Linked DNA regions of Oryzias latipes. The protein of the gene in region 2 purifies or fractionates together with the protein of the main gene of each other region. This does not show direct contact. Links are inferred from orthologs where the notes say so. Each region holds a gene or a part of one and is shown on either strand. Other genes may lie near its edges. The genes, in order: cytochrome b5 and bcap31.

What was found.
Region 1: the proteins of bcap31 (region 2) and cytochrome b5 purify together in Homo sapiens (co-immunoprecipitation; 4 studies listed by BioGRID and IntAct, with this or other methods). This does not show direct contact. The link is inferred for Oryzias latipes from reciprocal best matches to the Homo sapiens genes BCAP31 and CYB5A.

What each region holds. Positions count from the first base shown.
Region 1 is NC_019878.2:4,145,994-4,150,263, forward strand, and holds the start of cytochrome b5, read right to left. Parts: upstream 3,088-4,270; 5' UTR 2,898-3,087; coding exon 2,760-2,897; intron 1-2,759.
Region 2 is NC_019865.2:31,915,013-31,919,601, forward strand, and holds the start of bcap31 (B-cell receptor-associated protein 31), read right to left. Parts: upstream 2,887-4,589; 5' UTR 2,756-2,886; intron 1,315-2,755; 5' UTR 1,307-1,314; coding exon 1,215-1,306; intron 1-1,214. UniProt on the Homo sapiens protein: Functions as a chaperone protein. Is one of the most abundant endoplasmic reticulum (ER) proteins.

The DNA.
Region 1 (4,270 bases), on a different chromosome or scaffold from region 2:
TTTTTAAGTTTTTGTAAAAATAAAAAAATAAAAAGGTTCAGTGTAAGAAAGAGTCAACAAGCAGCAACTGAAACTCAAACACGTTCATTGAAATGGATGATGGGAGTTTTTTAATTGTGACTAAAGTTTAAAAAAACACTTTAATTGTAAATTTGACCCAAATCAAGTATGTTGAGTTAAAATGTGCGTTTTTTTCTTGACATGTCACTTTGCTGGTGCCAGCTCATCTGCTCTTTGGTTTGACTTTCATCTCATTGGTTAAAGTATCTGATGTAGTTTGTTGGATCAGTTCAGAAGATTGTTTCAACAGCAAAGGCGCGTCTCTTTTCTAGATGGTCGATGATCTTTGCACAGAAACTGATGGAAACTCATGCTGGCCACACGTAATCTGTGACGTCAAAATGCACATCGCCACAGTTCCCACATGTATTTCAACCCTAACCGTTACCCCGCCCGAATTACATGTGAATGGTCACTTCCTGTCTTGATACAGAGGCTCAGAGTGGATCAGAAAGACTTTTCTGCTGTTTCCAATCCAAACCAATAAAGATTCTAGCAATGAAGCAAAAGCTCCTCAACTGCCATCAGATTAACAGTTTCCTTGACTGCAGAACGGATGATGAGCTCCTCCTGACAGAGTGACGCACCAGGTTGAAGCAGCTGAAGGCTCCGATCATGAAAACGGAAAAGCAGGAAAACGTTCGGCAGCAGGAAAACGTTCGGCAGCAGAAAAACGTTCACTAGCAGGAAAACGTTCGGCAGCAGGAAAACGTTCGGTAGCAGGAAAACGTTCGGCAGCAGGAAAACATCGGCTTGGGTTGTAGGTTTTAGCTCCCACTGTCTTTAAATGCTGAAAGATGATCTCCCTTCATCCGCCTTCACACTAACAACAAAGACCACAACCTGTCTGGAGAAAACTAAACAGCCAAAAGAGGGCGCTATTGTCTGAAATGAGCTCTGTGGTAATTCTGGTTGTGCTTCCTGAGGTTGAAGGGATGTTGAGAGATCCACGGGGCTCTGTAAAAAATGTTTAAGTGTTTTAGTGAATACGCTAACATGTAGCGGTGTCAGACTGTTTTTTACGTGTTGCTAACAATTTTTGGTTAGCATAGTGACAGTAATGTTTAACACTGTGCTTTTAAATGTGTCGTAAACAAGGTTGGGAGTTCCAGGACTGGTGAATAATCCAACATGGCTAACGTTTTGTGTGTTACAAAGAACAGTGGAAGACGATACATCACTCCCGGTCTTTGGTCTGTCCGCGTTCACACTGGACTGGACCGCACCAGAGTTCACCTGCATGTAAACAGAGACCCTTGTTCTGAAGAGGAGCAGAGTTCTCTTGTTTGGTCCAAAATGTAGTTGAAGGTTCTCAGCTTATAAATCAAAGCCTCGTTTCTACTGAGCGGTCCGGTCCGGTCCGGTCCCGTTTAGAATGGTCTGGGCAATTCAGGTGAGCGTTTCCACTCAAAGTTGGACTATTACGGCGTGTGCGGGATGAAGCTAACAACAATAGAGGTTACCCAGCAGATTCATTTTGGCTTTTGTTTCTTCATAGATACAACGCATTTAAGGCTGTTTGAGAGAAGACTGCGATGGCGAAGAGGAATTCAGCCGCTCTCTTTTGTTCAGCCAATCAACAGGTTTCAACAGTAGCCCCACCCTAAACTGGTCCACTCCATTGTTCTATTGACCTGCAACAAACCAAAATGGCACGGTTCGGTCTGACTTAATGGGTCTATTTTATAACGGAAACACTTCAAATACCAGACTGGACCGGACTGGGCTGCTCAGTGGAAACAAGGCTCAAGAGGTCCACCCAAGGACACGGCTCAAGTGTGGATCAATTCTAGGAATTTTCCGCAGCTAGATTTGTGTTGTGTTTTTTTTGTAGTCCAACATTGTGTAGACATATTTGGAATAGCATCATCTCCATTTCTCACTGGGCTACTGGAGGGGTTGAATCTCTCTGACCCCCCCTGTCCTAGCACCCATAATGTTTGCAGATGGAGTCACGGAGAAGGGTGGAGGAGAAGAAGTCGGCTCCACCCTGAACCTGCTGGTGAGCGCACCTTGATAGAGTCAAATACCTGATTACTTAGAGGTGCTTGAGTTTCTGCCAATCGACTTGTGGAGCTGCTGGACGTTAAGAATAAACTTTATCAAACTAATAAGCTGTCAGAACCTTTTCTTTTTTTTAATGAAACCTCATTTATCCATATAATGAATTTGAATCAAACTGGTGTTTACAAAGATGTGTGCAGTCTAAGGACTGTCAACAAGAAACAGTTATCTTCCTAAATGCTGTAGACGATCATTTGTCTAAACAAAGATCTGCAGGCTGAATCCTCACTGACTTCCCTATAGCGGCAGTTTAGCTCAGGCACTAGAGCAGGTCACCCAACAACCAAAGGGTTGGCGGTTTGATCCCCGCTCTCTCTCCCGAGCGCGGCTAGTCTGCAGCTGACTGCTCGCCCACGGGATGGGTCAAATGCGGAGAGAAATTTCCTCATTGTGGGATAAATAGAGTAAAAATTATGTTTTATTTATTTTATAAGAGTAACCATGAACCTGAAGGGGGGCCAAGCCCCCACATCCTCTTAGGGAGCAGAGACGCACCTGCTCAGATAAAAAGTAGATAATTCCACAATAAAAGCATCTGAATGTCCATAAAGACTATTGTTAGGAAAGCGCCCATCAGTCAGGAGACCTCCGCCCCCCACCTGACGAGCCGTGAGCGCGCGCGCACAGCTCCTCACCTCATCCAGAAACTTGGTCACATCGTAGACTTTATGGTGAATGATTATCCACGTAGACTTGAAGGAGTTTTGCGCTTCGATCTCTGACAGCCGGTAGTATTTCACTCCTTCCGGGCTCCTCTCCTCCGTTTCCGCCATTGAGGCGCCGGACGGTCGGTCGGGCTTTGGCACGCGAAGAGCAGCGGGGCGCAGACTGCGGCGGCGCGCGGACTGACGGCCGGAGCTTATGTAATGCTGGAAAGAGTGGCCGCGCCGTGACTCCGCATAAACACGCCGACATTTACCCCAGAAAGAGTCACCAACAACTTTCAGAGTTCACCCAAGCCGGAAGCTGCGGGACTTCAGAACGCTACCTTCAGAATAAAGGTCATGCAGCATTGACCAAGAAATCCAGTTGTACTTGTGTTTATATCTCCTCGTCATTTTAGCAGAAACACGTTTAAACCCCGAAATGTACAATTTGCATCTAAGTTAGTGTATTCAGGTACTCTGCAGTTTATTTATAGTCCTGCTTATAGTATGAAGGCTCTGATCCTGCTTCATCAGCAAAGTTCTCCTGGTCAGTCTTGCTGCTCACTTTGTCCGAAACAATCCAGCCTGACTTGACGGTTTAGCAGTCAAACATCAAATCCACACAATAGGAAATTCTAGTAAACTGTTTTGCTCAACTGCCCCCTTAAATGTTCCACTTAAAAGTCTTCATGCACCAAACCAAATTATAACAGCTGCCATATTTTCAGCTCATGGGCAATGAGGCACGTGGGAAATTTGGAGATGACAAACAAATTCTGAACAGAGCAAAAATAATAATAAAAAAGTAAAAATATATTTTTACTGCATTTTTTTTTGTATTTGAGAAAATATCTTCACAAAAACAAAAAACAACAACAACTAACTGTCATGGTAAAAAAGAGACTTTGGTCATGGTAAAAGGTTTTTAACAGTTTAAATGAACAACTAATACTACAGAAATAGTTAACTTACCTCTGGTTGAAAAAAACTCAACTAACAGGTTCACAGATGTCAAGTTATTATGTCACAAAGAACGCTTATGATGATATAAAAATAAAGCATTAGGTACTGCAGACGTATTATAGTTTTAATTATTTTATTTGTTGCATCTATTTTATTTACAGGTCAATGCAGTCCCATTGTTTATCTGCTTTCGGTAACTATTTTTAATGAAAACGTGTTTTTGTGAGTTCGTAATGTTATTGTTTTATTTTGAAGGACAATCTTGTGACTTCCGGTAAAAATCATTCATGCTTTCGGATGCTTTACGGACTTTCGTTAAAGCCCCCGCGTCCACACCTTCCAGAATTCCGCTGTTCCATTGGTCGTCCTTCCCCAGCAGCCCGTATGGCGACTGTGATTGGTCCGTTCAGGTTGCCAATCTCTAATGAGCTGCTGGGGCAGCTCGCGGGCGAGGACCAGGCAAAAGGTCACGGACTGTTTAGCATTAAATCATTTATGGCAATCTTACACTCACGCACACACTGTCATCTCTCACG
Region 2 (4,589 bases):
TGTTGTACATCACTGCATCACTGTGCTCCTGAAGGGTTGATGCATTTTGGTTGCGTTGAGCCTTCTTGCCTTTAACATTTTGAACTGTTGGTGCCGTTTAAAGGATTGTGTTGAAATCCCATTAGATGCGCACAAACAAACAAAGTTCTTTCTAAATATTGTTTTATTTGTGTTATTCTTCACTTGTTTATGTTGTGAACCCAGACACAACGACGAGCCTGCATTAGGTTTTTTTAAATAAACATAAACCAGGGCCACTCTCCTGACAGGATGGGAATCCATATCCACCATTGCAAGGACACTAGCAAGGAACCAGACCGTTTCCATTTCATGCCCAAACTCGAGATTCACGCCGCTTCAACATTTTGCACCTAGCCTCATGTCGGTGGCGGACATGCGCTAGAAAACAGAAAAAGAGGAGGAAGCCCCTCCCTGCTTGTCAAGTGGGAACACCGAAATGCATACAGCATGTTCTTGAACACGCGTCAGAAGCCCAGTGTGTCTGTAGCTTCCGGCTTAATGAAACCCCACAGAGAGAGAATGTGGCCTGCAGGGGAAGAGGTCCACAGGGGATGGGTTCAAAGACAAACGCGAGGACAGAAACCCAGTAAGCAGCTCAACCCGCCTGAACTTTCCAGCCACCTTCATGGTTCTGTGTCACGTTTCTGTTTTGATGCTGAGCTTGGTTATCGTTATGATGTCTGCCACGACTGAAAACATCAGCTGGTCATGCCTGCAGAATCCAGGCAGGAAATTTTGTGTTTGCAGCTGCTGACAGTCTGCAGATGTCGTTGAGATGTAAAAAAAAAGGTTTGACTGACTTGGCTCTGCTGAATCATTTCAAAACTAAGGAGCTTCAAAAGTTGTTCGTAAGAATCATGACATCCACCCATTCAGATGCATACACAGGAACTCTATGATTAGATCAGCCTCCAACGCTGCCATGGGCCTTTGGACAGGTTTTTCTACATTTGGGTAACACAAAGTGCATTTGGAAAGACTTACCGGTAAACTGCATTTAGAAAACTCCTAAATGTAGTTTTACCCATTTGTTCATCTGAAGAGGTAATCATCACAGGCCATGTTAAGCAGAGCTCATTGTGACAAATATCTGAACAAGGATTAGCCGAAGACAAGATCGTGGCATAAATCATAAAGATCGTGGAATAAATCATAAAGTCCAGGTGAGGTGTTCAGTCCTGGTGAGCACTCACCTCTTTGGGGAGATGAAGGGGATACAGAGCAGAAGAACGAGGAAGACTTCCACATAAAGGAAGGTGGCCACCGCTGTCCACTGGAGGCTCATCCTGACTCCTGAGAAGAAGACAAGTGAGAGCGAGTGCTTTATCGAGTCCATGTTAAACACAAGTTCAAGAACGGAATACTCAACAGAGCAACAGCACACATTCAGAGCAGGAGGCATCTTGACTTTCTATGCACATCCAGACTAAAACTAAACTAAACTAAAACAACGGAAAACAAGAAGCATTTCTGTTCAATTTGAGCCTGATTCTGAAATCCATGTTTCACAATCAGCTTTCCTCCAGATGATGATTTCATCAGATTAGTCATCTGTTTTACACACACCAGAAGCTCACAGCTATATGCTTTATGGTGTTATCCATACTTGCCCTCCAGCATCTCCAGCTCTACATTCTAATCTCAGCATAACTACACTTTAGTCTTGATGAGCTGATATCTATGGTCTAAACTCCACTCAGAGGTCCCATTGACTCAGAGCAGTTATGTTTTCTCTTATCTCCTGACTCCCTTCTGCTCATCCTGATGTTTCCTCTATGAGCAGAAACATTTAGCTCAGATCTATAGGAGGAGAGACAGAGGAGCGACTCACCAAGATAAACAGCATACAGTGGTCGATGTGGAGACCAAAGCCTGAACTACAACAAAAATACACTGGACCTCACCACAGACCTGACCAGGCTGTCAAAATAAACTCCTTTCCTGTGGCAGCTCCACGGCCTGTGTGTTAGCATCAGGGAGGAGAAAGTTCCTGGAGTGTTCCACACCAACAGAACCTCACAGGAGTCCAGCTGGACAGAGACTGATCAGAAACTCGGCGTATTTTTGAGGAAACTCTTCTGAGATGGGGAGCCAGTTGGGGGGCTCTGGTGCTGAGGGGCGTGGCAGCTTCAGACAGCTGTGTCACGATGCAGCGATCAGTCGTGATTAAGACCAGCGCCTGACAGCAATCAGCCGATCTGAACCGGCGTCACTCAGCTGTGTCCTCTGACTTAGATTACTCTGTTAAGATTCATCTTGATCATCATTCGCTGTAAATTAAAATAGATGGTTTCTGCAAACCCCTAAAAGTCTGACTGAGGCCAATGACTGAAGACAATATTTTATTAAGTAGCGGTAGCCAACTTGTTAGCTGTTCTTTATTACACCGCAAAAATGCGCGTTAAACACAAGACGATTAGGGACCGTGTATTTGCTGGAATGCGTCTAACTTAATTTGATTTCTATATTTTAGTACATAAACTGGTTAACTGACCTTTATTTTTCGTTTAACCAAATTGGAAACCGTGGCTTTCTTTGAGATTAGAATGTTTCTTGTTTTTAAAAGACACTGACGCCGTCCACTCTCGGCAGAAGCCGTTTTATTGTCAAATCATAAGCGATGTTTTGAAATGCAGTCGGGCGGGCAGCTGCTAGCATGCTAGCCGCTGACGACAATGGTATGACTCCGCATTTTACCGAACAAGGTTGCCATCAGAAGGCTGACTAGACTTACCTCAAGTACACAGACCAAGAGAAAAATGCCTTCCTGCCCAAAGAGACGTAAAAAAGCTTGTAAATGCTGCTCTGCTAGCCTGTTGTGACAACTTCCGGTCCACTTCCGGCTCTTTAATGCCAGCTCATCGTCTAACGTGATTGGATGATTCAAATGTAGTAGGAGGAACTGCACTCTACAGTTGACGTGAGGACATTGACAATAAAATATAATAAATATATAGTCATATGTGATGGAGTCAATGCGTCAGATTTAATAAAAGTAATTAATACAATTATTTTGTTTAATGGTATTGTAGCGACCTGGGGGTCAGTCCCGCCTTCAGCCCCTAAGGCTCATGGGAAGTGGGGAGCTTAGGGTGAAACATTGAGTCAGAGGGCTGGAAGCTGAAGTGACCCTCCATGCTGTTTGGGCTGTATGTGTGCTGGAATAAACAGGCTTGTTGCTTAAAAGCTAATATTGCCTCTCTCTACGTTTCTTGCAACCTGAGACTGTCCGGGGTCGTGCGGTGTATGGGGCACGGACAGCTCTCCATTAAAACCTCTTCATGAGCAGTTGGCTTTCGCTACCCCACTAAAGTGACGGTCCGGCCGGATCGTTACAATGGTGTCAGAAGAGGGATTGCTTAGCCGCTGCTACAACATGGAGAGCATCTCCATGGAGGGTGAGACGGAGCAGCTGTTCCTGGTGGCAGTCTGGGACAAGGGAGGAGTAAGGGCGATGACACCACCCTGATGGATCGAGCACCCACCGTCATCCGCAGCCTGGCCCTGCCCGGCACCAACGTTAGAACATCCGGACCAGACTGTGATGACGGTGCGCAGCCCAGCTGAACCTTCACAACACAATTAGCAAAACACAGGAACACACTGGCTGGAGACTCCTTCGCACAATCCTGGGTTTCGACCGCCACCGTGTACAGTCCTCCTCTTAACTGGCTGGGTTAGCACATCTGCAACTGACACAGTTCCATGCCAGTATGTGCCCAGCCAGGAGAACCAGTCCCCGCCTCCGTGGAAGCACCACCATCAGGGTGCACGTCACCATGGGGGAGTAGACTCTCTCCAAGTGAAGAGCTGCACACCAGCAGCAGAAGGTCCCCAGGCATCCCAGGCGATCGTCGTCGTCACTACGGCGGCGAGACTCCAGCTGCTGTAGGGTCTGCTTCTTCAAACCCTCCTCCCCAAAGCGAAGCTCTGCTGTCCGCGCTGACAGGTCTCGCAGCTCCGCAGGTGGGAGGTCCAGCAGTGTAGGGCCCTCTAACGCCAGGTCTGAGTGTGTGAGAAGTCCCTTTCGGTGTCTAGCCCTCATTGCCGGTCGCCAGGTTGACCTGAGCCAGGTGTGGTTCCAGTGTTGTTTTGCTAATTGTGTTGTTCAGTTCTGCAGTTATGTGAGGGTTGTGGGGACACTAACCCTCTTAGGTGGGGGCAGTGTAGCGACCTGGGGGTCAGTCCCGCCTTCAGCCCCTAAGGCTCATGGGAAGTGGGGAGCTTAGGGTGAAACATTGAGTCAGAGGGCTGGAAGCTGAAGTGACCCTCCATGCTGTTTGGGCTGTATGTGTGCTGGAATAAACAGGCTTGTTGCTTAAAAGCTAATATTGCCTCTCTCTACGTTTCTTGCAACCTGAGACTGTCCGGGGTCGTGCGGTGTATGGGGCACGGACAGCTCTCCATTAAAACCTCTTCATGAGCAGTTGGCTTTCGCTACCCCACTAAAGTGACGGTCCGGCCGGATCGTTGCAGTATGTCTAAAGTAATGTTTCCATTTATTTTTAAATTTCATGTATCCACCTGCTGCCTGGAACAAACAAATACCGATTAGGCCAGGGGTCGGG